Rhinolophus ferrumequinum: one gene and its partners. The protein of the gene in region 1 interacts with the protein of each later gene in a pairwise test. Links are inferred from orthologs where the notes say so. Each region holds a gene or a part of one and is shown on either strand. Other genes may lie near its edges.

Region 1 (7,245 bases):
CGTCCCACCTGGGCAGTCAGAATTCCCACTGTTTTCCATATCCAGAAGTTGTGGGGGCTCCTCGGGTCCCTCACTCCTTCGTGGGGAACCTCTGTGGCCAAGATATCTCTCCCAATTTTCAACCACTACATGTGGGTGTGGGACCAACCCGTTTCACGTCTCTGCCCCTCCTACCAGTCCCAACATGGCTTCTTCTTCATATCCTTAATTATAAAACTTCCATTCAGTTAGACTTCAGATGGTTCTCCAGGTTGATTGTTCTATAATTTAGTTGTAATTTTGATATGTTCACAGGATAAGGCAAGCACAGCATTTATCTAGTCTGCCATCTTGGATCTCCTTCTGAACTAATAGGTTTTAATCTGCAGTTTAAGAGGAAGTCTATGATGTGAAATATCTGCAAAATACTGAGCAAATTTTAATGGCTACTACATCCTCAAAACAGCATCACCTGTCCCCTTTAAAGTACTAATTGGTCAGCTCTTAAATATACGGTCTCAGATGACACTCCTATCAGTATGTGTGTTTTGTTAATTCAGAAGTCTGACATGGAGATGGAGTACACTGTGGTTTAAATAAAGAATAACAAGTACATGGGAAAATTCTATAGATGAGGAACGGGAAGCAGGATGGAGTAACATGTATTCCACCCTAGAAAGAGGGACACCATGTTTCCCCGAAAATAAGACCTAGCCAGACAATCAGCTCTAATGCGCCTTTTGAAGCAAAAATTAATATAAGACTTGGTCTTATTTTACTAGACCGGGTCTCATATAATATAATATAATATAATATAATATAATATAATGTAATACTGGGTCTCATATTCATTTTTGCTCCAAAAGACGCATTAGAGCCAATTGTCCGGCTAGGTCTTATTTTCGGGGAAACACGGTAGGTCCAAGTGATGCCAGATATAATGTAAGATTCTAAACATCCAAAATTGATACAAAATCTGCCTTTCCATTATAACTGAGAAAGAAACTAGGTGCAGTTTTTTACTTCAAATAATTATACAATTAAAACTCACAGAACTCTGAGTACTCTTCTTCCCCAACCTTTCCTGCAGCCAAGTATCACTGATCCAATAACACAGTCCTTCATAATATAAATAACATTTATATGGTACATTTATAAATAACATTTGTATGGCTCTTTCAAATATTTTATTTCATTAAAAGACCACAGTGATCCAGTCCATAGGGTCTTTGGCTCTGAAATCTTGGTAAAGTCATTTAATCTGCCGGGCTTTCTGCTTCCTTGACAAATAAATGGGACTGACAATTTTGATGAATATGCTAATTATTTCCAGCTGTTCTAAACATTTTACAAACATAAACTCATTGAACCTTCACTGTGAGATATACTATTCTTACCCTCTTTTTATAGCAGAGGAAACTGAGGCACAGAGAGGCTAAGTCACTTGCCTCAGGTCCGAAAGCTAGGACAATAAACTGATCTGCTGTATCCAGGTCAGGCCTAGGATGGTACAAATTGAGTGTGAATGGTGAAGATGAAAGTCTTCCTATATGGCCTGTCAATGAAATAGGTGATCAACAGTCAAGAAGAAAAAAAGATGTTTAAAAACAAAACAGCTGCTTCAAAATCCTTTTAGGATTATTGACTCAATTATTTGGTGTAGTTTCATAAAAAACAGTAATGCAACACCTCTTCACAAAAAGCAGTGTGTTCCCCTGAAACAAGCATCAAGTGCTAAAATGCTTTGTTCTTCTGCCAATTACAAATTCTCTTCCAAGAAAGGATATCTTGACTTGAAATACGCTGTGACGTGGCATTAGGTGCTATGACATTAAATTTTATCTGAATAAATTTTAAACATTTTCTGAATCAGAAAAAGGAACAATTGCTTAGTATTCACATCAAGTATTAGGCAGTACTCCTTATGTACTGTGGTAACTTTTAAAGGGGAACAAACTTACAATTCATTGCTATACGTATTTCAAACTACACATACATGAGAAACTTAGAACCCTGCTGGGATAAATGCCCTCTGAGAAGTTCTTGAGGACAGGAACCCTTACCTTTATGCATCTTTGTATCCCATACTACTTTGCATTGCATGAAACCTGCATTTAAGCATTTCCTGGAGATGTGTCAACAAGGGCAAAGCATTATAACCAAAAGAACAGAGGTGGCAAAACAAGCAAATTCCAAACTGAAATTGTACAGAAATAAAACTGCCACTTTGTCCTTCTCAAGAATATGCTCCTGGTGTCTACAGAGGATCTTTCACTTTCAAAAACAAAAATCACCACGAAATTTCTGCCTCTTATCCTAAACAGCTGAATCATTCATATTCAACCACCCATAATTCTTCCAAAACCATCAGTGCTTTTTGGGAAGTCCGAATGTAAAACTTTCCCTAGAAGAACATGGAAGAATTATAAGAAATTAAAGGATTCCCAAAAGATGCAGACTTAAACAGGAGCTGCATTATCCTTAACCAAACAGGAGGCCCTGGCTATTACATTAATCTCTGGTGAAGGAAAAATATTACGCTGAGAAAACATATTCGTTCATACAACGAATATTTATTAAATCCCTACTTGGCGCAAGGCAAATGGGCATATGAACACTGGAGTGGGGTCGCTGCGGCCGTCTGCTCTTCCGCGGGGCCCACCGCCCAGCGGGACAATCCCCCCACCCCCAGATGCACCGGCCAGGAGTCCCAGGACCCGTCCCTCCGGCTCCTCCCGCTGACCTGGCACAGGTCTCCCGAGCTATGCGGTGAAATGAACAAATCGGCCTCGCCACTGCGGTGAAGGCCCACGCACACCCTGGAATGCAATGGACCTGTGAGGCCGTGGGAACCCCCGCACCAATGCAAGAATAGCGCCGTGCTCCGGGGGTCACGGAGAGGGCAGGGGATCAGAAGAAGGGGGGGGGGGCTCTGGGGTCCCAGAGGATCTCTGGAGGGTGCGTAGGGGATGCCTGGGGCGATCTGGGGGGTTTAGAGATCGCGTTATGGCGAGGCCTGGGGGCGCTAGGGAATCTCTGGAGGAATCTAGGAGGCCCCAAGGGAAGCTTGGAGGGCAGCCAGGCGGGGAAGGAGCTTGGGACAGAAACTCCCTCAGGGCACGCGCGGCCTGACGCTTACCCAAACAGCCCTCGGAGGAAGGAGTGGGAGGCCTTGACTCGCTTCTCGGCCTCCGCCATCAGCTGGACTGCCTCACGCTCCTTCCCCGCGTTGTCCATGTCGCCAGCCGCAGCCACCACAGCCTCCTCAGCCGGCAGGGGAGCGTCTTCCCCGCTCTACCCTCGCAGGGGCGGGGAGCGCAGGCACGGCGCGCTCTGCCTCACGGGATTTGTAGTCCCGGGTCCACCCTGGCGGCCAGGTTGCGCAACGCATCAACTACAGTTCCCAGCAGGGCTCAGAGTGGGTGGGGATGGGATCCGAGCTTGCAAACCGCCCACACCGGTGGTTTCCGAAGGGTGATCCTAAGCCTTGGTGAGTTTAATCGTTTAAGTATGCGGGGAATTGGGAAATTACCCGTGGCTTTCCGTAAGGATCGCCTCAACCCTCAGCATCACAGTTGGTTCAGGAATTCCTTCTCAGTAGGACTGACAGTTGGCAATGGGATGGATGAGGAAACAGGATAACATAATGGAGTGCTCCACCTGCAGGCCAGTCGAGTTCCACAAAAGGGAATCTAATGCAGTGTGGATGAAAAAGGGGCCACATACTACTAAATCTGACAAACTCAGAGGAGGCCAGCATGGTAGGTCCTACAAACTCAGAGACTGAAATTAACCATATAGGATGGTCTAAACAAAAAAAAAATTACTAATTAAAAGGGGTCATGGTGAGTAGTCACATCCTTGGCCAGTACTTCCCCTGACAAACAAAGGCCGATCTTTATCTTAAGTGAGTCTGTTGTTGTTGTATATCTAAGATAACATACCCTTGGAATGTCAGAGCAATCCTTTTTTCCAGACCCCTCAGGACACAGTCCATCGCACCAGACAGAACCCTTATTGTTCTCTTGTTCCCAGAATACCATCTCTATGTGCTGTAAAATGTTAATTATTAACTATCCTGTACTCACCAATGTAAAAGAAGTATGTGTCTCTCCGTTTCAACCAATCCCAGAGATTTCCCCTCTTTGCTTTCTCCCACCTTCCTTACACCTCTTCCTTCCTAATATATGAAATAAGCTGGAAAACTGCCATTCTCTGGAGTTTTATTAACCCACTGAGATTTTGCTTCCTAGCAATTGTCATCAGTTTGGCTCAAAAAACTCTAAACTTCTCTACAGGTATGGGTGTTTCTTACATTGACAGCAGCCACAGAAAACAACTTCATTAAATGTGTAGCGTCCACCCACCCACAAGCAACAGCTGGCAGAAAGAGCCATTTTTATTTCTAGAGCAAGCCATTTAAGAATGTATCATTTCCCCCGATATAAATTCAGAGTTATTTTTCAGGCTTCCCATATTGCAACGTTCTGTTGCTCCTCTCTTCCTTGGTTATAAATAAGTTGCATATATGCAATATATACATACTCCAGTCTTTTTATTGACTGAATTCTTTTTGGTGGATGTTTGCCATTGAGCTGTCTTATCCTTTATATAATGCTGGCCGTAGGGGGTGGGTCTCCTGGGACACAATTCCTGCATGCCAGGAAGAGTTCTAATCTCTTAAGAGAAGTATCCATAGATAGATGCTAATCATATGCCAAACATTTCCAGAACTGTCCCAGAAGGAGTTATTATTTTTTTAATACAAAGTCTAGACCATTACATTTGGCAATGCTAAAGCAGAGGTGGCAAAGCAAACATATAAATCACTGCCAAATGAAAACTTGTGACAATTTCAAATTATTAGTAAGTACACTGTGGGCACTGGCACACAAAATATATCTAAGAAAATGTAGTTTGCCTTTAGAGAGCAAGGAAAGAAGGGCCAAACTCCTAGAGAGAAAGATAACTAAAGCAAATGTCACAGTTTTATGCATTGCAGGACACTCTAGAGATAGAAGGAAATCTCCGATCTTAAGGCAGAGTTTATTTACTATTATTACATGCATTATTCTAACTTTTGGAGCAGTATGGGGGAAAAAAAGGGAAGGAAATTGGAGGTGGCAGTAAATGCAGGAGTAAAAAAGAAAACTGAAAAAAGTGGACATAAGAATTTGAAAAGCAGAGCAGTCCATGGGGACTTAATAGAGTGGGGCCAACTCAAAAGCTCTGAAGTGCAGCATCAGTTTGTTGATTAAAGCAGTTCCCAGACTTAGCTCAATGCGGAAACTCCCAGAAATACTGATTCCTAAGCCACTAGCTTTTTGTATCAGTATTTCCTAGAGTTGGGGTCCAGGAAGTACACATTTTAAAAACACCTCTCCATGACTGTTCTAAAGCTTACAATTCTAGATTCTCAAACCTGTAGTCAACTAAAACGGAGATAGAATTAACTGCCTCCTCTAAACTAGAACTTGCAGTTAAGGGTTGCAAAAGTATATATTGACATTTTTTATGTTTCCTGGTATTTCCCCCATTTTCTTCTTTCTCACAGGAAACCTAACAGGCACTCCCACCCTTCCCCCAGCCCACACCCCATGCTATCTATCAGATTTAGCAAAAAACTTCAAACCTTAATTGTTGTGTAGAGCAAGTGTTTTCTTATCCCAGAGGCTATGGTAGGTGAGTGGAGATAACAGAGCAGAGAGACAAACCTCACAGAGTAGGGACTAGAAAAAAGATGAGGAATCCTTGCAGGAGGAGGCTAAAGGAGACCTGCTCTGGTGTGGAATAGAGAGGGAATGAGACCCTCAAGTAGAAGCTGGTCCCAGAGTAGATCCAAAGGATCCATGGATCTACACCCATGCTGATTAGGATGGAAGCCACTCACCACAGGTGGCCATTTTAGTTTAAATCAAATAATATGAAATGAAATGTAAAATTTCATTCCTCAGTCACACTAGCCACATTTCAACTACTCAATAGCCACATGTAACTAGTGGCTACCATATTGGACTGCACAAATATAGAACATTTTTGTCATTGCACAAGGTTCTAACGGACAATGCTGGTCTGTACACCTATGCCTTTCAGCAGCCCTGGACACTGAGACAAAGAAAAAGGGAAAAGTCTTCAGACAGTTTCTGAAAAGATGGAGCAGGAAAGAAAGACCCTGTACCCAGAACGAGGCAAAACCAAACAGAATCTCTGGCTTTTCCCTATGAGCAGATTAGGGTGGACACAGACACTCAGACTGAGTGAACACACAGAAGCTAGATTGGAATGTCAAGTGTTCAACTACCCATCCTGAGAGGTGGTCTGCAAAGGCAAGGCTGAAGCCACTTGAGAACATGCAGCTCTAAGAGAGGCAGGGTCAGACCTACATGGAAAACAAGGTGTGGCCATCCATCTGCATGTGCTCATAGAAGGAGTGTGGTGCAAAGAGAGTCCTGTGTGGATTCTGGTACCAATGGAGAGTGCAGTGGGTACAAATGCAGTGCACCTCCAGGATTGCATGGCTGGTGTCCTCACTGTCCAGCGCAGGTACCCAGTGCACTGGGCGAGTGCCTGCAATGTAGCTGCGTGCAGCTGACTCTCACTACTCAACGGTGCAACAGCAGCTACCAGTTACTAAGTTCACTTAGTGTCACCCTCCTCCTCTCCTTCTGATTCCAAAATCAGTAGGAAACTTCTGACCATGACTAGCACTTAATATTCCTATGCCTCCTGGTCCCAACTGCCAGCACTTGCAATTCTCCTGCGAATTCTCTTTGGACTTCAGTCTTCTCTGCTTGAATGCTAGAGGAGTAAGTGGAAGGGGTGGTAAATTAACTTCATCAATATGGGAATTAATTGGTCTCTGCCTCTTGGGAGCAGCCCTCAATCAGTGACTGTTGGGAAGTTGGAGGATAAATACCCATCTGCCGGGACAATTCTGAACAATATTCTACAGTCTCCCGGAGGTCCCAGTGGGAATGAGCTCTAGTTGCTGACAGTAGAAACTGGCTTGTTCTGTACCCTTTTTTGGCCTCCTTCTCTTCTGTGACCCCATACCCCTACTGGTGATGCCCAGTGTCACCTCCAATAAATTGCTTTCTCTAGAATCCTTGTCTCAAGGTCCACTTCTGGGAGGACACAAACTAAGACAGGGAGACTATGCACTGAGGACCAATAGGTGTGTTCTGGTCCCCAAAGACATCATGGTGTTCATTACAAATTTATAAATTGGCATTCTTATCTATGGATAACTTTACTTAGGGTTCCAGT
Region 2 (7,872 bases), on another chromosome or scaffold:
CATAAGGATTCATTTCCTTCTGGCCTCAGTATCCCTTCCGTCATAAAGGGCCAGGCTGGGAGAGGACGGCAGACGTGGCCACTTACATTGGACACAAACACCTCACTCTGCCCGCTGTCCAGCATCTGCTCGAGCTCCTCATCGGACACCATCCCAGCGTTGGCTGTGAAGGAAAAAGCCAGGTTCAGAGCCGGGTCAGGCCCACCACCCGGCAGCCAGGCGCCACGACTCACTGATCTTCAGCTGCCTCCGAATGCGTTCCACGTTCTTCTCCCGGTACTCGGACTGCATCGAGTTGCACTTGTTGATGAGCTCCACGAATTGCTGGGACAGGACCCCGTGCTGAGGATGGAGAATATGCGCTGGGCACCTCTGGGAGGATCTCCACCCTGTCTGGACCTCGGCACTCCGTGAGCCAGCAGCACAGGCTTTCTAGGGACCTGCTGCCTTCATGACCTTGCAAGGTTGTTACCAGGACCTGGACCTGCCCTCCCCTGGCCTCCCTGGGACCCACCTCCTCCCACTGTGCCGCCCTCACTCCCTCCAGCCGCAGTGGGCTCCTTCCTCTTCCGGCACAGAGCACACCCCACCTCAGGACTCTGCACTCACTGTTCCTTCCGCCAAAACACTCAGGCCCCACAAGGTCTTAAGTTCCGATGGTACCTTCTGAACAAAACTGTCTCCACCTTACTGAAATTACAAGCCTTCTCCCAGCACTTTCAATCCCTCTTCTCCCACACCTTTCCCCTTAATACGTAATGATGTTATACAATCATGTTCTAGGGATGATTACGATTGTCTCCCCTCATGAGAATAGAAGCTCCCTGAGGACAGGGATCTTTGGTTCAACACTGGACCCCAAACAGCTGCTTGTTGAATGCCTGTTGAAACCAGCCTCACTGCTTAGAATGGACGGGTGCTAGTATGCATGCAGTTCAGACTGCTGCCCAGATTTTACAAGCCCACCTGGGCCCCCAGCCTCTCCCACTGATGACCATGGGTCCCTTTTGAAATGCCCTCCTGCCTTGTCCATGTGTCTGACGCCTTATTCCTTGGAGTTCCTTGCTCTCCTGGCCTCAGCTACACCCTTTCAAGATACCCAAATTGTGCCATCTTTAATCTGGGCTCCTTGCTGAGCTCTGAGCCCACCTACTCTGACTCTGACCTCCAAGAACTGCAAACCAGTTCTCAATGGACACACAGAGGGGGCCAGTCAGATCACCTCAAATCACCTTCCAAAGATGTTGACCCCAGGAGGTTCCTTTCCCTGGTTTCTTGAATTCTGCCCACGGGGCAGAGGGTGTCCCTGCCACCTGGGCAGGAAACCTCCCAGTCATTCATGATTGCACTCTCTTCTTCGTGGGCAGAATCACTAGCTACCAAGTCCTACCTGACTAATATTCTTGTTACCTAGTCAAGCTTAACTTCCTCTCTTGGCTCCTAAAAGCATGTCTCCCACAGCTGAGCCCAGGTCACCTCTGGGGAATCAGCAACGTCTCATTGAATGGAGCAGAAGAAGGCAGGGTGTTAAAATGGACTCGGAATCAGAAGAATCTGGCTTCTTGACCTTGAGTGAGTCCTTCCTCTCTTTGAGCCTCAGTTTCCCCATTTGGAAAATCATCAGGTTGGACTTGATGATCTCCAAGCACCTTTCCCTCTTACTTCTGTCGTCTAATGAGCTATGAAGCACATACTGAAATGTGTTCGTTCTGGGACTAACAAACCCACCTGGGTTTTTCTCATTCTTGTGTTGACCGAATTATAATTCTCATCGGCTTCCTCCTTCTGGGGCTCTATGGCTGTGGGAAGAACAAAGGTGTGGTGGGGGAGGGGGTTTGACCTGTAGCTTCTGAAAATTGTTTGGGCTTCAGGACACAGGGCCAGGGCCACACCCCAGCCACACAACAGGGAGGTGCTTGTCTCCATAAGATTTTTTCGGGACATATAATTTATCACTAAATGACTAATTCTGAGCCTCTGACAGGAGACAATACATTTTTCTTTGCAACACATCAGAGAATTCCCACAGCTATGCAGAGGCCACAGAACTAAACCCTCATCTTCCTGCCCAAAGAAGGCACACTGGGCAGCCAGAACTGTAGGAGTAAACGGTTTCATAATAAAGGAACCTGAGAAGCAGCCATGTGCTGTGCAAAGTGCTATGGACTGGCAACCCGGGAGATGGACATTCTAGATTGCTGTGACCTGGATTTATCACTGGCTTCTCTGGGGCACACACTCCCCAGATCTGTCAGGAGCTGGGCAGAACCCCAGGAAAGGATGTGTCTGAGGTCCTAGGAGCTCACCCTTCAGCTGCCCGCGGATCTCCCTCCCCAGCTGTTTGATCTCGTCGCGCAGGTTCTGCAGGTCCTGTTTCATGCCTGAACAAGAGAAAGCAGTCCCTACATCAACACATCTCCCTGGCCACCACCTGCGTGGAACTACAATCCCCAGAATCCCCTGGTTGAGCGTCTGTGCGTTCTGGATCCAGGTTTTCACTCACTCTCCTCGGGAAGGGGCGTGGCCAGGATGGTGACCTGCTGCTTCTCCAACTCTCGGACTTTATTCTCCAGCTTGACAATAGCCTGCCGAATTATCCGGACCTGGGAAGGGTGACCGAGAGGGCTGAAGGAGATATGGGGGTACTGCAGACCGCACTGCCCCTCGGGTCCTCCAGCCCTCTCGTGAATCCTGGCGGAGACCCCAGCCTTTTACCTTCTGGAAGAACGCATCGTCCGGGCTCTCCAGCCGTGCCGTGCCCGGGTGTACCACCAGGGCGACCCGCTCCTTGTCCTCGTCGTCCGAGCTGTCATCCCCCTGCCAGGGCCGGGTGCACTGGCATCACTTCCTTGCTGTGGCTCTGTCCCCGCAGGACTCTCGGGCTTCCGGGTCTTCCTAGCCCTCAAGCCACCCCTCCCTGCTCCGAAGACCAGGAGCCCTGCCTTCCAGCCAGACCCCAGCCTGTCCTCCCGTCCCACCCCTGCAGCCCCGACTTCTCACCTGCCTCAGCTCATGGGTCCTGTCCCGCATGGCGGCCCGAGCTCCCTCTTCCCAGCGCCTCAGCCCCGAGGGCCTCAAGATTCTAAGTTTGGAACTCCCGTACCCCACTCACACCCTGACACTCCCAGTCTGCCCTCACCCTGCGGATCCCCAAGCCCCCCGCGAGCCGCCAGAGGCTCTGTCCCTGACACCATCCACAGTCAATGGTAAGGAGCCGACCACAGTGACCCCCAGGGTTCCACAGGTCGGAATTCCCTTTTCTTTCCCCCCCTCCCGCTCCAGCAGCCTCGGCCCCGCCCACTCTGGGTTGACTCGGGGCATGCGCACCGGGTGGCGACTCTTCCCCACCCGAGAGAAAGGCGGAGGTCGGAAGCGACAGCGCCCCGAGCGGAAGCACCGCTGCCAGGTTGTGAGAGCCCGCCCCCTTGACCGGAACTGGGGCATCTTCCAACCGAAGTCCTGTTGCCAAAAGGAGTGGGGATGCGTCATGTGTATGTAATCGGAGCGGCCCTGCATCTCACATCACCCCATGGTACTCCCCTCGCGCCACGTGACTGGCCCGGTCCCAGCCTCCCGGGCCACCGAACGTGACGCTCTCACTGTCACGAGTCCCGGATTCTGTCAACAGAGCTCGTCTCTTGGAACACCCCTCGCCACGACGTCCCCGACCCCCGGCGCCCGAGCCACGGCCCTCCGGCTCCCACGAGGCGGGGACGGGGTGCTGACTCTCTCCAGAGACCTTGTGAGGCCCTGGGTGGCAGGGCTATTGATGAACTCGGCTCTGTTGCTTTTGAGTCCAGGGGCGTGTGCAGACGGACGACCTAGAACTGGAGGCTGTCAGCGCGATGGGACCTTGGAATCCAGAAAATGCTAAGCTCCGGCGTCAGAGACTTGCAGGGTTTTGAAGGCAGAGAAGCTGGGGGTGGGAAGTGACTTCACTCGAGGCAGAACTCTCTCCTCCCGCAGACTCGGGGTGCAGCCTCTGACGTGGGCGGCTGGCGCCCCGCTTGAACACAGCAGGCCGCCACCTTCTGAGCAGCCAGGGCAGTTAGACTGAGAAAAGCCTAGTCTGTATTGTATCGAGCCGTTTGCCTTACACCTGGGTCTACCCTCCGGGGCCCACACAAAAATCCGTCACAATGTTCCACTTTATAGGGAACTGAGTGCTCCGGAAGTACGGGCATGACTGTTTGGTTTTCACCCGAATCCCCAGCGCCTAGTTCCGTCCCTAGCACCTAATGTACTCCCAATAACTGTTTGTGGACAGAGTATTAGCTTTTCACGTGTCTGGAGAGAAAGCTCACGGTTCCTTGGTCTTCTCTTTTAGGCTTCAGGCTTTCACAGTGACGCTACCCTACTCAGGACCCTCTAGAGACATTCATTCATTCAGTAGATATTTATGGGGCACTTAATATGGGCCAGACACAGTTCTAGGAGCCAGAGATACATCACAGCCTAACAGATAAGAATACCTTGCACTTGTGGAGCTTACATGCATGAGGGAGAGTCCCCAAGGCGGCAGATTGAGTCTCAGCACACCCGGAATGACTGACAGGTCCCCGGGATCCCAGGGCTCTTTCCCAGGGAGATTTTATGAAGGTTCAAGCAGGGGAAGGAATGTCCCCTCTCTAGTATGTCCTGGTAAGGAAACCTAGACTCCTATGCCCGAGTTGCTGTGGACTTCTGGAAAGTCACTTGTCGTCTTTGGGCTTCCGTCTCCCATCTACGCAATAGGAGGCAGTAGGGGGATGGGGAGATAATCTTTATGTGTATTCTCTGCTGTGAAATTCAATGTTTATGTGGTTGGAAACTGGCAAGTGCTGTCTGATTCTGTATGAGGGTTTTGATCCTTCTTCTCTTCCCTTTAGAACCCAGCTGGGCTGGGAGCAGGAATGAAGGAATGAGAATGCTGCCACACTGATCGAGTGTTGCAAGCACCTATAAGGGCAATCGCTACACTTCAGTCTCTTCCTGAAAGTCAGGGGGACATTAACCCCTGGGCAGGGCCCTACGTCCCTGCGTGGTACTTGCGACATGAGTGGGGAACAAAGTCCTGGCACACAGGTTCAGATAGAGTAACACAGCTTTATTTGGGAGCCAATGTCCCTCCAGAGGCCAGTGCTCTGGCAAGCACAGAAGGTTGTACAGAGTAGAATAGACTTTAATAACAAACCAAGTCCCAGAGTCAATCGGGATGGAGAAGGTTCCTGGTCCGGGAGAGGCGACTGGGCCCACGAAGTGTCTGAGGCGAGCTGGTCTTGCGAGGAAGAACTTCGGAGAGTCCGGGAGTATCACAGCTTGCATCTTGCAGAGGGTCTTAGCCGGAGTGCCCAGTTGACCACTCATGGCACTGCTCTGGAGTTCTGCTTTTATCTTCTTTTCCTTGCACTTGTTTACTTCTTAGGTGATAACCAGAAGTGGTTTGCCAGGAGTTGTTTATCTCTTAGGTGATAACCAGAAGTTGTTTTGGTAAAGATGTTTATCACTCAATTTTGTTATGCTCAGTTTCACACAAAAACATGTTTTTCACTTCACTCTTATCCGTCTCACACATGTGTGGCCATAGTCCTGTCCCTAGTAAACAACTTGTTTTGCAAACATATATAATACATTTTCTATGCTCTATACATCAAGCCACTGGAAAATTAAGGCTTGGAGGGCTTTTCAGGAGCCAAGCCCTGGCCCGTGGGCTCCTCTGATGGTCCTAAGGAAGGGTTTCTTCCCTTCTCTTGGGTGTTCCATATCAGCCTCTCTGCCCCCCTGAACCGCACCCCTTTTCTCTCTGTCTCTGTCTATCTCTCATACTCCGTCTCAAGCTTGAGTGGTACAGTGGAAGGAATTTTGGATATCTCGCTACTGGTTCTGGGTGTGATTTTAAATAATTCATTGCTCCTCTCTGGGGCTCAGTTTCTCCCTGGTTATTTCCATCTTGCCTAAGGTAAGAGCTGAAGAGTACCAAGAGCGGTTAGGAAGGACATGGAAGGGTTTTGTGAAGTATCGAGGGTTCCCACTCTGCAGGCTTTTACTGCTGTGGGTTCAGCTCTCTGGGCCCACCTGTCTCTCTCTGCTTCTCAGCCTTTGCTGACATGCCTTCTTGGTTCCCAGCTGTGTTTTGGAGTTGTTGCTGACTTTCTTAAATTGCTCAGGAGTATGATAGTCATGATTTTATTTGTGGTCTTTGGGTGGAATCGCGGGGCTTTGGGAGGGTGTCTTAACGTTCCCAGGGATCAAAGCCTTGTGGACCGGTGTGTGCAGGGGATAGGGGTGAGGGGCCGTCTAGGGAAAATGGCTCTTGGGATGGGGCCCTCCAGAGCTGAACCCCTATCTCTGTGCCATGGTCCTCTGTTGCTCAGGCCCGCTCAGCAGCCTGGAAGTGGGTATTAGGCATATTGGGTCTTGGATGTGCGGGTGTTGGTGGTGTGTGTGTGTTTTCCTTTCAGTCCGTGTAAGGATCAGGTCCTACCTGGTCCTGTGGCTTGGCAGCGTGCCCTGTCCCTTCCACTTGTAGGCTCGTCCTACCAACACTGGAGCTAGACGGCCTGGCCTGGAACCCCAGCTCGTTCACCTACTGTATGACTCTATAAGGCAGGTTACCTAACCTCTCCCTGCCTCAGTTTCCTCATTTGAAAAATGGGAACAATAACAGTACCAGCCTCTTACACAGGGCTGCTGTAAGGATGACATGAGATGACACATGTAAAGTGACTAGAACAGTGCCTGGTAGGCAGTAAGCGTCGTGGAAGTGTTTGCTGCTATGACCTGAGGTCTGACGGTGGTTGTTACTAGGAAGGCGTCTGCAGCCCCAGTATCCTCTCCAGGGACCCCACTCTGCTGCTTATCCAAGGTGTCTGTCCCCTTTCCATCTCCTGAGCCCCACTGTGTTGGTCCTAAGCTGCTAGCCTTGCCAACTCCTGCAAATCTCTCCTGTCTGTGCTTGGATCTGACACATCATATTTTGCTTGTTTATTTTATACATTGTCTGTCCTCACCCCTCCTCTCCACCCTACTAGAAAACAAGCTCCCTGAGGACAGGGATTTTCACCTGTGTTGCTTACGGCTGTGTCCCCGGCTCCTACGGCACAACTCTGCCTGGCACAGAGGAGCTGGTCAATATATATTCAAATCGAATGAAATTATTTCTCTTTAATTTAAAATGTCTATAGCACTTACTGCGTGCCAGGCACCGACAGGCACTTCATAAATATTTACTCACTTAATCCTCGTATCAATTCTGTGAGAGTTCTATTATCATTCTCATTTCACGGAGGAGGAAACTGAAACACACAGTCATTAAGTAACCGATGTCCATATGCCAGCTCCCCGACACAACGTGTCAGGATAAACGCCATAAAAATACTAGAAGAAAATATGGACGAAATCCTTTCTAACACTTGGAGTGAGAAAGGCCTTTCCAACTGCAGCTAAACTTTCAGAAGCTATAAAATAGAAGATTAATATATTTGTCTACATGAAAATTTTCTGCACGGCAAAAACATCAAAGCAAAATCAAAAGACAACAGACTGGAAAAAAAATTGTAATTCTTATCAAAAGGCTAATATCCCTACTATTTAAAGAGCTCCCACATATTGACAAGGAAAACCAACAGTTCAATAGAAAATATGAAAAAAAATATGACAGACAGATCACAAAAAAATACATAAAGACTTGAAGACATATGCAGATGTTCCACTTCATACATAATAAGAAATGGAAAGTTAAGACAATACTGAAATACCATGTTTTATTGCATTCGCAATAAAAAAAATTAAAAATCCATATATTTGATAAAACACTCTTTTGGCAAAAGTCGGGGGGAGACAGAGATTTTCACCCATTGTTGGTGGGAATGCAAAATCATATACCCTAGACAA
Region 3 (7,220 bases), on another chromosome or scaffold:
TGAAGCTGAGGAAGCGTTTTAATACAAGATAGGCAGGGTAGGTTGGGTTTCATTGTAAAGGGCTTTAAATGCCAGGCTGAGAGATTTGTACATTTGTAGGTGGTGGGGGTTACTGGTTTTTGAGAGGACAGTGCTGTGGTCAGAGCTGTGAGCCTGTAAGAGTGTGGAGGATAAATTGGAGAGGAAGCAGTTCAGAGACTGTTGCCATAATCCAGGGAAGTGATACAGACCCTGAACCAAGGTGGGAGGGTGAGCAAATGTGAGAAGGACCATAGGTTCGGGCTGTACAGCTCCTGGGGAGAGACTTGCTTGGGCTTTGTGGGAGGGGTACTTTGAGGGAGAGATCGACATTTAGCGTCTGGAACCCAGAACATGGAACTCAAAAGAAGCTGGTGTCTGACTTTGGCCAAACCCTAAATCCAAACCAGTCCCATTTCAGTCCTTTCAGAGTTATTGATTCTGACTCCCTGGTGTCTGACTCAAGAGTCAGAAAGACCTGTGGGGCCGGGTGACCCCAGATGGAGCTGTGGAATACAAAGGCATTCTCTGCTTTGGAGTATCACAGACTTGATTTCCAGCTCTGGTTCTGACATTCACAGCTCAGTGGGCAAATCTTTTAATTGCTCAGAGCTTGTTTCCTCACTTATAAAACTGGTAAAGCCTCCCTCTGTTGAGGAAATTAAACAACGGGAAGCTGGAAGCTGCCAAGCCCTGTCCAGACCAGAGTTGCCTAGAGGCTTCCTTAGGAACAGGCCTGTAGGAATTTAGTTTAGTTAATTTGGGGGTGGGTTGAAGGGAGCCTAGAGGATACTTTCACTTTTTTTTTTTTTAACTAAGTCTATCTTCCCTCTGCAGCACCCTCATCACATGTGTGGATTCTGGGATTCTTCGAGTCTGGGGTGACAATGACAAGGAGACATCCTCCGGCCCAGTGAGGCTCCCCTGCCCTGATCCCTGTGGTTGGGGAAGGAGGGGGCCAGGGTGGGAGCTGAATGAAAGCTTTGGGGGAAGAGGATTAAGGACTCTGGAACTGACTCTCATCCCTCATCTCATCTCCCATTCTTTTCAGCTCCTGGAACTGAGGGTGGGCCCTGGGGTGTGTAGGATGCGCCAAGACCCAGTGCACCCCCACGTAGTTGCCACGGGTGGGAAAGAGAATGCTTTGAAGGTGTGGGACCTGCAGGGGTCTGAGGAGCCTGTGTTCAGAGCCAAGAATGTGAGTGATGGGTGGGGAGGGGCTGGGTCTGAGGTCCAGGGAACTGAGGCCATTATGAGTCAGAGACCATGGCTTTAGGGGTGATGGAGGGCCGAAGGAAGGGACACATTGAGCACCCCACAACCCTGCCCCCCATCTACCCACCCCACCAGGTACGGAATGACTGGCTTGACCTGCGAGTTCCCATCTGGGACCAGGACATACAGTTCCTCCCTGAGTCACAGAAGCTTGTCACCTGTACAGGGTACCATCAGGTGAGAGACCACCCCATCCCTACCTCCTGGCTTAACCTCCCAACCTGGAGGATCGCTTCCCTCATCCCTGTCCATTTATGCTCCTAACGGCTCTCCCCCAACCCCCTAACACTCAGAAGAGGGATATATTTCAAATGAGAAAGTTTCTCTAAGAGTGGGTTATAAACAGCAAAGCAGTATATGAAGGGGGTGTTGAAGACGTGGGGAAGCCATAGGGGGGTATGTGGAGTGAGGGTACCCTGTGATACCGCAGTCTTCCTCCAGGTCCGTGTCTATGATCCAGCCTCCCCCCAGCGCCGGCCGGTTCTAGAGGCCACCTATGGAGAGTACCCACTGACAGCCATGACTCTCACTCCTGGGGGCAAGTGAGTGTTTAGAGGGCAAAGAGTGGGGTCAGGAAGGACTCTTGGAGGCTCCTGCTGACCCCACTTTCCTCTGACCTCCTCCTCAGTTCAGTGATTGTGGGGAACACTCATGGGCAGCTGGCAGAAATTGACCTTCGGCAAGGTAGTGGACTGGGGAGCCTTGGGGGAGGGGAAGGGTAGGATGCCCTCTAAGGCACGACAGTAGAGCGGTTGAGCCCTCATTCAGGTATTAGGTTATCTGAGTTCAAATCCTGGTTTCAAAAGCTGTACGACCTTGTACAAATTACTTTGACTCGCTGTGCCTTAGTTCCTTCACCTGTGAAATGGAGATATTAATGGTAATTTCTACTTCAGCGTTATGTTAAGGATTAAATATTGAAATGTAAAGTGATTTGAATAGTAAACAATAAATGGTTGTTGGCTGGTCAGCTGGCACTGATGCTTACCCCCTTCTCCAGGGCGCCTACTGGGCTGTCTGAAGGGGCTAGCGGGCAGTGTCCGAGGGTTGCAATGCCACCCTTCAAAGCCCCTCCTAGCCTCCTGTGGTTTGGACAGAATCTTGAGGGTACACAGGATCCGGAATCCACGGGGCCTGGAGCATAAGGTGAGAGCCTGCTGCCAAATGTGCCCCCATTCATGTTTCTATTTCATGCTTGGTTCCTTAAGGTACCTCATCTTTTGCAGGTTTATCTCAAATCTCAACTGAACTGCCTTCTCCTGTCAGGCAGGGATAACTGGGAGGTGAGCAGTTGTGTCTGGGAATGTGGGAGCCAAGGACGTAGATGTGAGGATTTATTTCCCTGTGGGAAGAAAAAAGGAAGCAGCTGGAACAGAGACCTGGGACTATCCATCTACCTGTCGCATTACTTAATTTTTGTGAGGAATGTTAATAGTTACAGTCCTGACAGGGTTACTGCCAAGGGTGACAGGAACATGGGTGGGAATGAGTTCCCAGAGCAGGAAATAAAAGTGATTGTTTCCCAGCTAGAGCCTCCTTCCCAGTGGGTCTATGACTGTGTCCTTGACACTGAAGCTCTTCTCCACTCACCAGGATGAGCCCCAAGAGCCTCAAGATCCCAGTAAGGTGCCCCTAGAAGACACAGAGGCAGATGAACTTTGGGCCTCTTTGGAGGCTGCTGCCAAACGGAAGCTCCCTGATTTGGAACGGACCCCAGGAGCTCTCCAAACCAGAAAGAGAAACAAGAAGCGGCCTGGCTCCACCAGCCCCTGAAGAGCCTGTGTTCACTTTGTAAATAAACAGCTCGACACCCACCATGACTCGGAGCCTTTTGTGATGGTAGAAATGAAAGAGGGGTGGCTGCTCTCTAAGCTGAGGCGATGGGATATCTGACGTCACAAAAGCCTGGTGAGAGCCAGGTGGGCTGGAGTGGGTGGTACCCAGTGCCGGGCTTGCACAGGCCATGGGCTGCTGCCAAGACAAGGACTTTCAAACCTCCAAGGGTCACGCCAAGGAGGCCCAATCAGAGGAAGTGGAAGAGGAAGGTGGGATGAGACACACCAGGGGACCCAGGGGGCTGGAGAGGGGGAGGGCCCAGGAGGTTGGACGGGGAGGGTAGAGCTGAGCTGAGCAGCCTTGTCATTCCCGCAGACACCGAAGGGATTGATGTGGACTCGTCGGACCACCAGAATCCCAAGCGTAACAAAAGCCTGTTGATCACCGTGCTGTGGAGGCGGCTATCCATGTTCAGCCGTCGGGGCTCCACGCGGTCAAACAGGAGGCAATCAATCCAGAATCAAAAGCATGGGTGTATGTTACAGAACAACGCGGAGAAGGTCCTGGAGGAGCCGGAGAAGGGGTGACCCCAGCCCTGCTCTCAGTTCACCCCATTCAGAGAATAAAGTTTCTAACGTGTACTTGCCGGAGCGCTTATGCTTCGGCTGCCTGCTCTGGGCGAACAAGGCACGGGAACCACCGGGGCTGCGGTCTCTTTAAGGCTCCTCCGCTGAGGCTGGCCCAGCCCCCTGGGTCCAGGCTCTGGTTCCTAGGGAGCGGAGTCAGGGGAGAGGCCTAGCCAATGGGAGGGCGAGAGCCTCCCATTGCGTTTGGGTGGGGGGCGTGTCCCTTGGGTTGCCGAGTTCAAAAAGGCGTGGCACCGCCTCCTCGTCACCGGGGGTGGGGTTACGTGTGGGTGACGTGGCGGCTTCTAGTCTTTGGTCGGGTTTCCGCGGCTTCGGCGCCCGGGGAGGAGGTGGTGACGACCCGGGAGATTGTGGTAGCGGCGGCAGCGGCAGGCGGCAGAGAGGAGGTAGGACTCGCTCTAAGAGGGGTCTGGCGGCCGTGTCAGCCCCCGGTAGTGGCTTTCCGGAGGTGGCGATGGGCGGGGGGAAGGGAACTAGGGGCGCGCGGACAAGTCCTGCCGGCCCGGCTCCGGGTGAGCGAGTACCGCGCCGTCCAATCAGGAAAGCTCCTGTTGAGAAAGACGTCGGCATTACCTAATCAATAGTTGCCGTCTTCCAGAAGGCGGGGCTTGAGCGGAGGTGGGACTTCCTGTTTCAAATAAACACCCAGAGATTTCCCCCCTCCGCCCACCGAAGTGTGTACCCCTCCGGAGGTCGGTCTTCGTTTCTCCCTGAGGAGTCGAAGAAACCCGTGAATACGAGAGGGCCCAGTTAGGGCCTACGGCAGATGCACAGACTGGGCTGGAGCCTTGGGTCCACGGGACCTGCCTTTAGCCCTGTCTCTGCTTCAGGGACCCCGGCCCACGTTCTGGCTGCCTGAGCCAAGGTGGAAGAAGAGGCTGAGGAGGGGAACGGCTTAGGCCGGAGAGGAAGCGGGGGGTCCTGCCCATTGAGGGCCGGCCCCAGGATCTGAGGGTGGCTTTGGGACCCAAGGATTTGCTGGTTGGGGGGAATTTGTGGGGAAGGAGACTGCCTGGAGAATGACACTCTCCCCTCCACAACAGTCCGAGGTTATGCGTCTCAATGATCCCGCGGAAACGCTACGGGTCTAAGAACACGGATCAGGGTGTCTACCTGGGTCTCTCAAAGACACAGGTCCTGTCCCCTGCAACTGCTGGCAGTAGCAGCAGCGACATCGCCCCTCTGCCCCCCCCAGTGGCCCTGGTCCCTCCCCCTCCCGACACCATGTCCTGCCGGGATCGGACCCAGGAGTTCCTGTCTGCCTGCAAGTCCCTGCAGAGCCGTCAGGTAAGGACCAGAAGTGGGAAAGGCAGGAATGAGCTTTACTCAAATTTGGGAGAGGCTGTGCTCCAGCACTGTTGATTGATGTAATTTTTTTTTTTTTTTGATTGGAGTAATTTTTGTCGGAAACTCTTGGAGAACTGATCAGGCTTGCAGGCTTGGAGGGGGCAATAGAGAATCTACTAAGAGGTGGGCAACCTATCTAGAGGCAAGCATCCAGACTTTTTTTGTGAGGAATCCCCTGGAAGGTAGGGTTGCTATTCTGGAAGGAATATCTCAGGATGAGAGGTGGCTGCAATATATTTCGTTTGGATAAGGAGCAGGTTCTCAAAAGAGCCTTTAACCCAGAGACAAGCACTTTGAGTTCTAGTTCTGGTGGAGTTCTACCACTATTTGCTCTGTGACCACGGGGAAGTTAGTTGGACCTCAGTTTTTATATATGTAATTTTTATCAAACTCACTTTGAAGTGCTTTTCTTAAAAATTGCTTTCCCTTGTCTCAATCCGGACTTTATGAATCTAAGTGGGATCTGTGTGACTGTAATTTTATTAAATATTTTTACTGCTCAGCTCTTGTTAGCAACTGTTCTTCTGTATGAGCTTTCCAATTATCCTCTTCAATTCCCTGATTGGAGTACAGTGGTAGAGTGGTGATAGGAACTATTATTTATTTGGTGTTCTCAATGTTCCAGCTATTTGGCTAAAATACTTTGCAACCGTCTTCTTGTTTAATCTTAGCAACGATAATATGAGGTGTGTGGATTGTCTTCATTTTATAGAAGAGGAAACAGATTCAGAATGGTTTCAGTAACTTGCCCCCAACCCCCCAGTTAGTAAGTGGTGGAGTCAAGATTTGAACCCAGGTCTTCCTGTCTTCAACTATGGACTCTAAACTACTGCTACTGATAAAATTAGACCGTCTGGTGGAGGATGCCACTGGTACTAGACAGAGAGTTTAGTGGACACCTGAAAACAGTGAAAGCTGGAAATGGGGAGGGGGAATTAAAGTTTCACCTGTTGACATTGCTTTTCAGAATGGAATACAGACAAACAAACCAGCTCTGCGTGCTGTCCGGCAGCGCAGTGAATTCACACTCATGGCCAAGTGAGTTGGGAGAAGTTATGTGGTGTGCTGATACAGTGTCGGAGGAGAAGTGGGCTTGCCTTTGGTGGCCTGGCAGTGAGGGCAGGATTGGTTGTGCTGGAGCTAGTGTGGAAATAGACCCTTTCCCACAGTGTTCTCACTCTTGCGTCTTTACAGGCGCATTGGGAAAGACCTCAGCAACACATTTGCCAAGCTGGAGAAGCTGACAATCTGTGAGTGTTCTTGCGGTGTTTCAGAGATGGGGCAGTGAACCAAAGAGGGCTGAGGAATTGACTCCCTGAGCCTTGTCTTTGACCTCACCCTTCTTGCCTTCTTGTTTGTCTCTGCAGTGGCAAAGCGCAAGTCCCTCTTTGATGATAAAGCAGTGGAAATTGAGGAGCTAACGTATATCATCAAACAGGTGAGCTACTAGCTAGCAGGAGAGCCCAGCACTCCTGTCGGGTCACATCCATCATTTTCCATTGCCATGGAGACCCAGAGCAAGTTCCTAGAGCCAGCCCAAACATCCTGCTCATCCATTGAGTCAATAGAAACTTACTGATCATCTGCTGTATACAAAGCGCTGTGATGAGCACTTGCCTTACAAACATGAGGCAAGATTTCTGCCTTCAGGGGCTTATTGTCTAGAAGAGGTAACCAGCCCCATAAACTCAGACTTACAGTGAATAGGAGGAAAGTGTGCTGAAAAGATCATACAAAAAGATAAATGAGATAGTCTAGGGACACTGGGAAATATTTCATAGAGGAGGTCAAATCTGAGCTGGTTTCAAGGTTTGTGTAGAGGCCGTGGAAGAACATTCCAGACAGAGGAAACAGTGTTTGCAGAGGCATGGCGTGTACAAGGGAAAGCTCAAGTCTTTGCTCAGGTGTTATCTGTTCAGGGAGGCCTACCTTGAACATGCTGTTTAATAATCTAGCACCAAAACTCTGATCTTTCCTACCTTAATTTGTTTTTGTTTGTTTATTTGTCTTTAATAACGATGTATTCTAACATTTTCTATAATTAATTTATTATTATTTGTTTGTCTCTCTTTCCTCCCACCTACCTCATCCCTCTCAAAAAAAAAAAAAATAAGTGTCACAAGAGCAGAGATTTTTTTCTTTCTGCTTGTTCATAGA

The links.
Region 2: the proteins of NAPB (region 1) and STX4 interact in binary tests that used the Homo sapiens proteins (3 or more experiments, as listed by UniProt). The two-hybrid records come from large-scale screens. The link is inferred for Rhinolophus ferrumequinum from reciprocal best matches to the Homo sapiens genes NAPB and STX4.
Region 3: the proteins of NAPB (region 1) and STX5 interact in binary tests that used the Homo sapiens proteins (3 or more experiments, as listed by UniProt). The two-hybrid records come from large-scale screens. The link is inferred for Rhinolophus ferrumequinum from reciprocal best matches to the Homo sapiens genes NAPB and STX5.

Annotation. Positions count from the first base shown.
Region 1 is NC_046306.1:43,857,603-43,864,847, forward strand, and holds the start of NAPB (beta-soluble NSF attachment protein), read right to left. Parts: upstream 3,308-7,245; 5' UTR 3,217-3,307; coding exon 3,119-3,216; intron 1-3,118. UniProt on the Homo sapiens protein: Required for vesicular transport between the endoplasmic reticulum and the Golgi apparatus.
Region 2 is NW_022680357.1:328,179-336,050, forward strand, and holds the start of STX4 (syntaxin-4), read right to left. Parts: upstream 3,274-7,872; 5' UTR 3,031-3,273; coding exon 3,001-3,030; intron 2,818-3,000; coding exon 2,716-2,817; intron 2,604-2,715; coding exon 2,504-2,603; intron 2,382-2,503; coding exon 2,307-2,381; intron 1,800-2,306; coding exon 1,729-1,799; intron 343-1,728; coding exon 234-342; intron 164-233; coding exon 87-163; intron 1-86. UniProt on the Homo sapiens protein: Plasma membrane t-SNARE that mediates docking of transport vesicles. Necessary for the translocation of SLC2A4 from intracellular vesicles to the plasma membrane.
Region 3 is NC_046294.1:8,020,417-8,027,636, forward strand, and holds the start of STX5 (syntaxin-5), read left to right. Parts: upstream 1-3,947; 5' UTR 3,948-4,102; intron 4,103-4,313; exon of another isoform or gene 4,314-4,759; 5' UTR 4,760-4,778; coding exon 4,779-5,003; intron 5,004-6,030; coding exon 6,031-6,101; intron 6,102-6,257; coding exon 6,258-6,313; intron 6,314-6,430; coding exon 6,431-6,501; intron 6,502-7,220. Other genes in the region: WDR74 (WD repeat-containing protein 74), read left to right, coding at 856-931, 1,070-1,216, 1,369-1,470, 1,735-1,835, 1,922-1,977, 2,294-2,439, 2,520-2,576, 2,887-3,066; TEX54 (testis-expressed protein 54), read left to right, coding at 3,257-3,338, 3,445-3,656. UniProt on the Homo sapiens protein: Mediates endoplasmic reticulum to Golgi transport.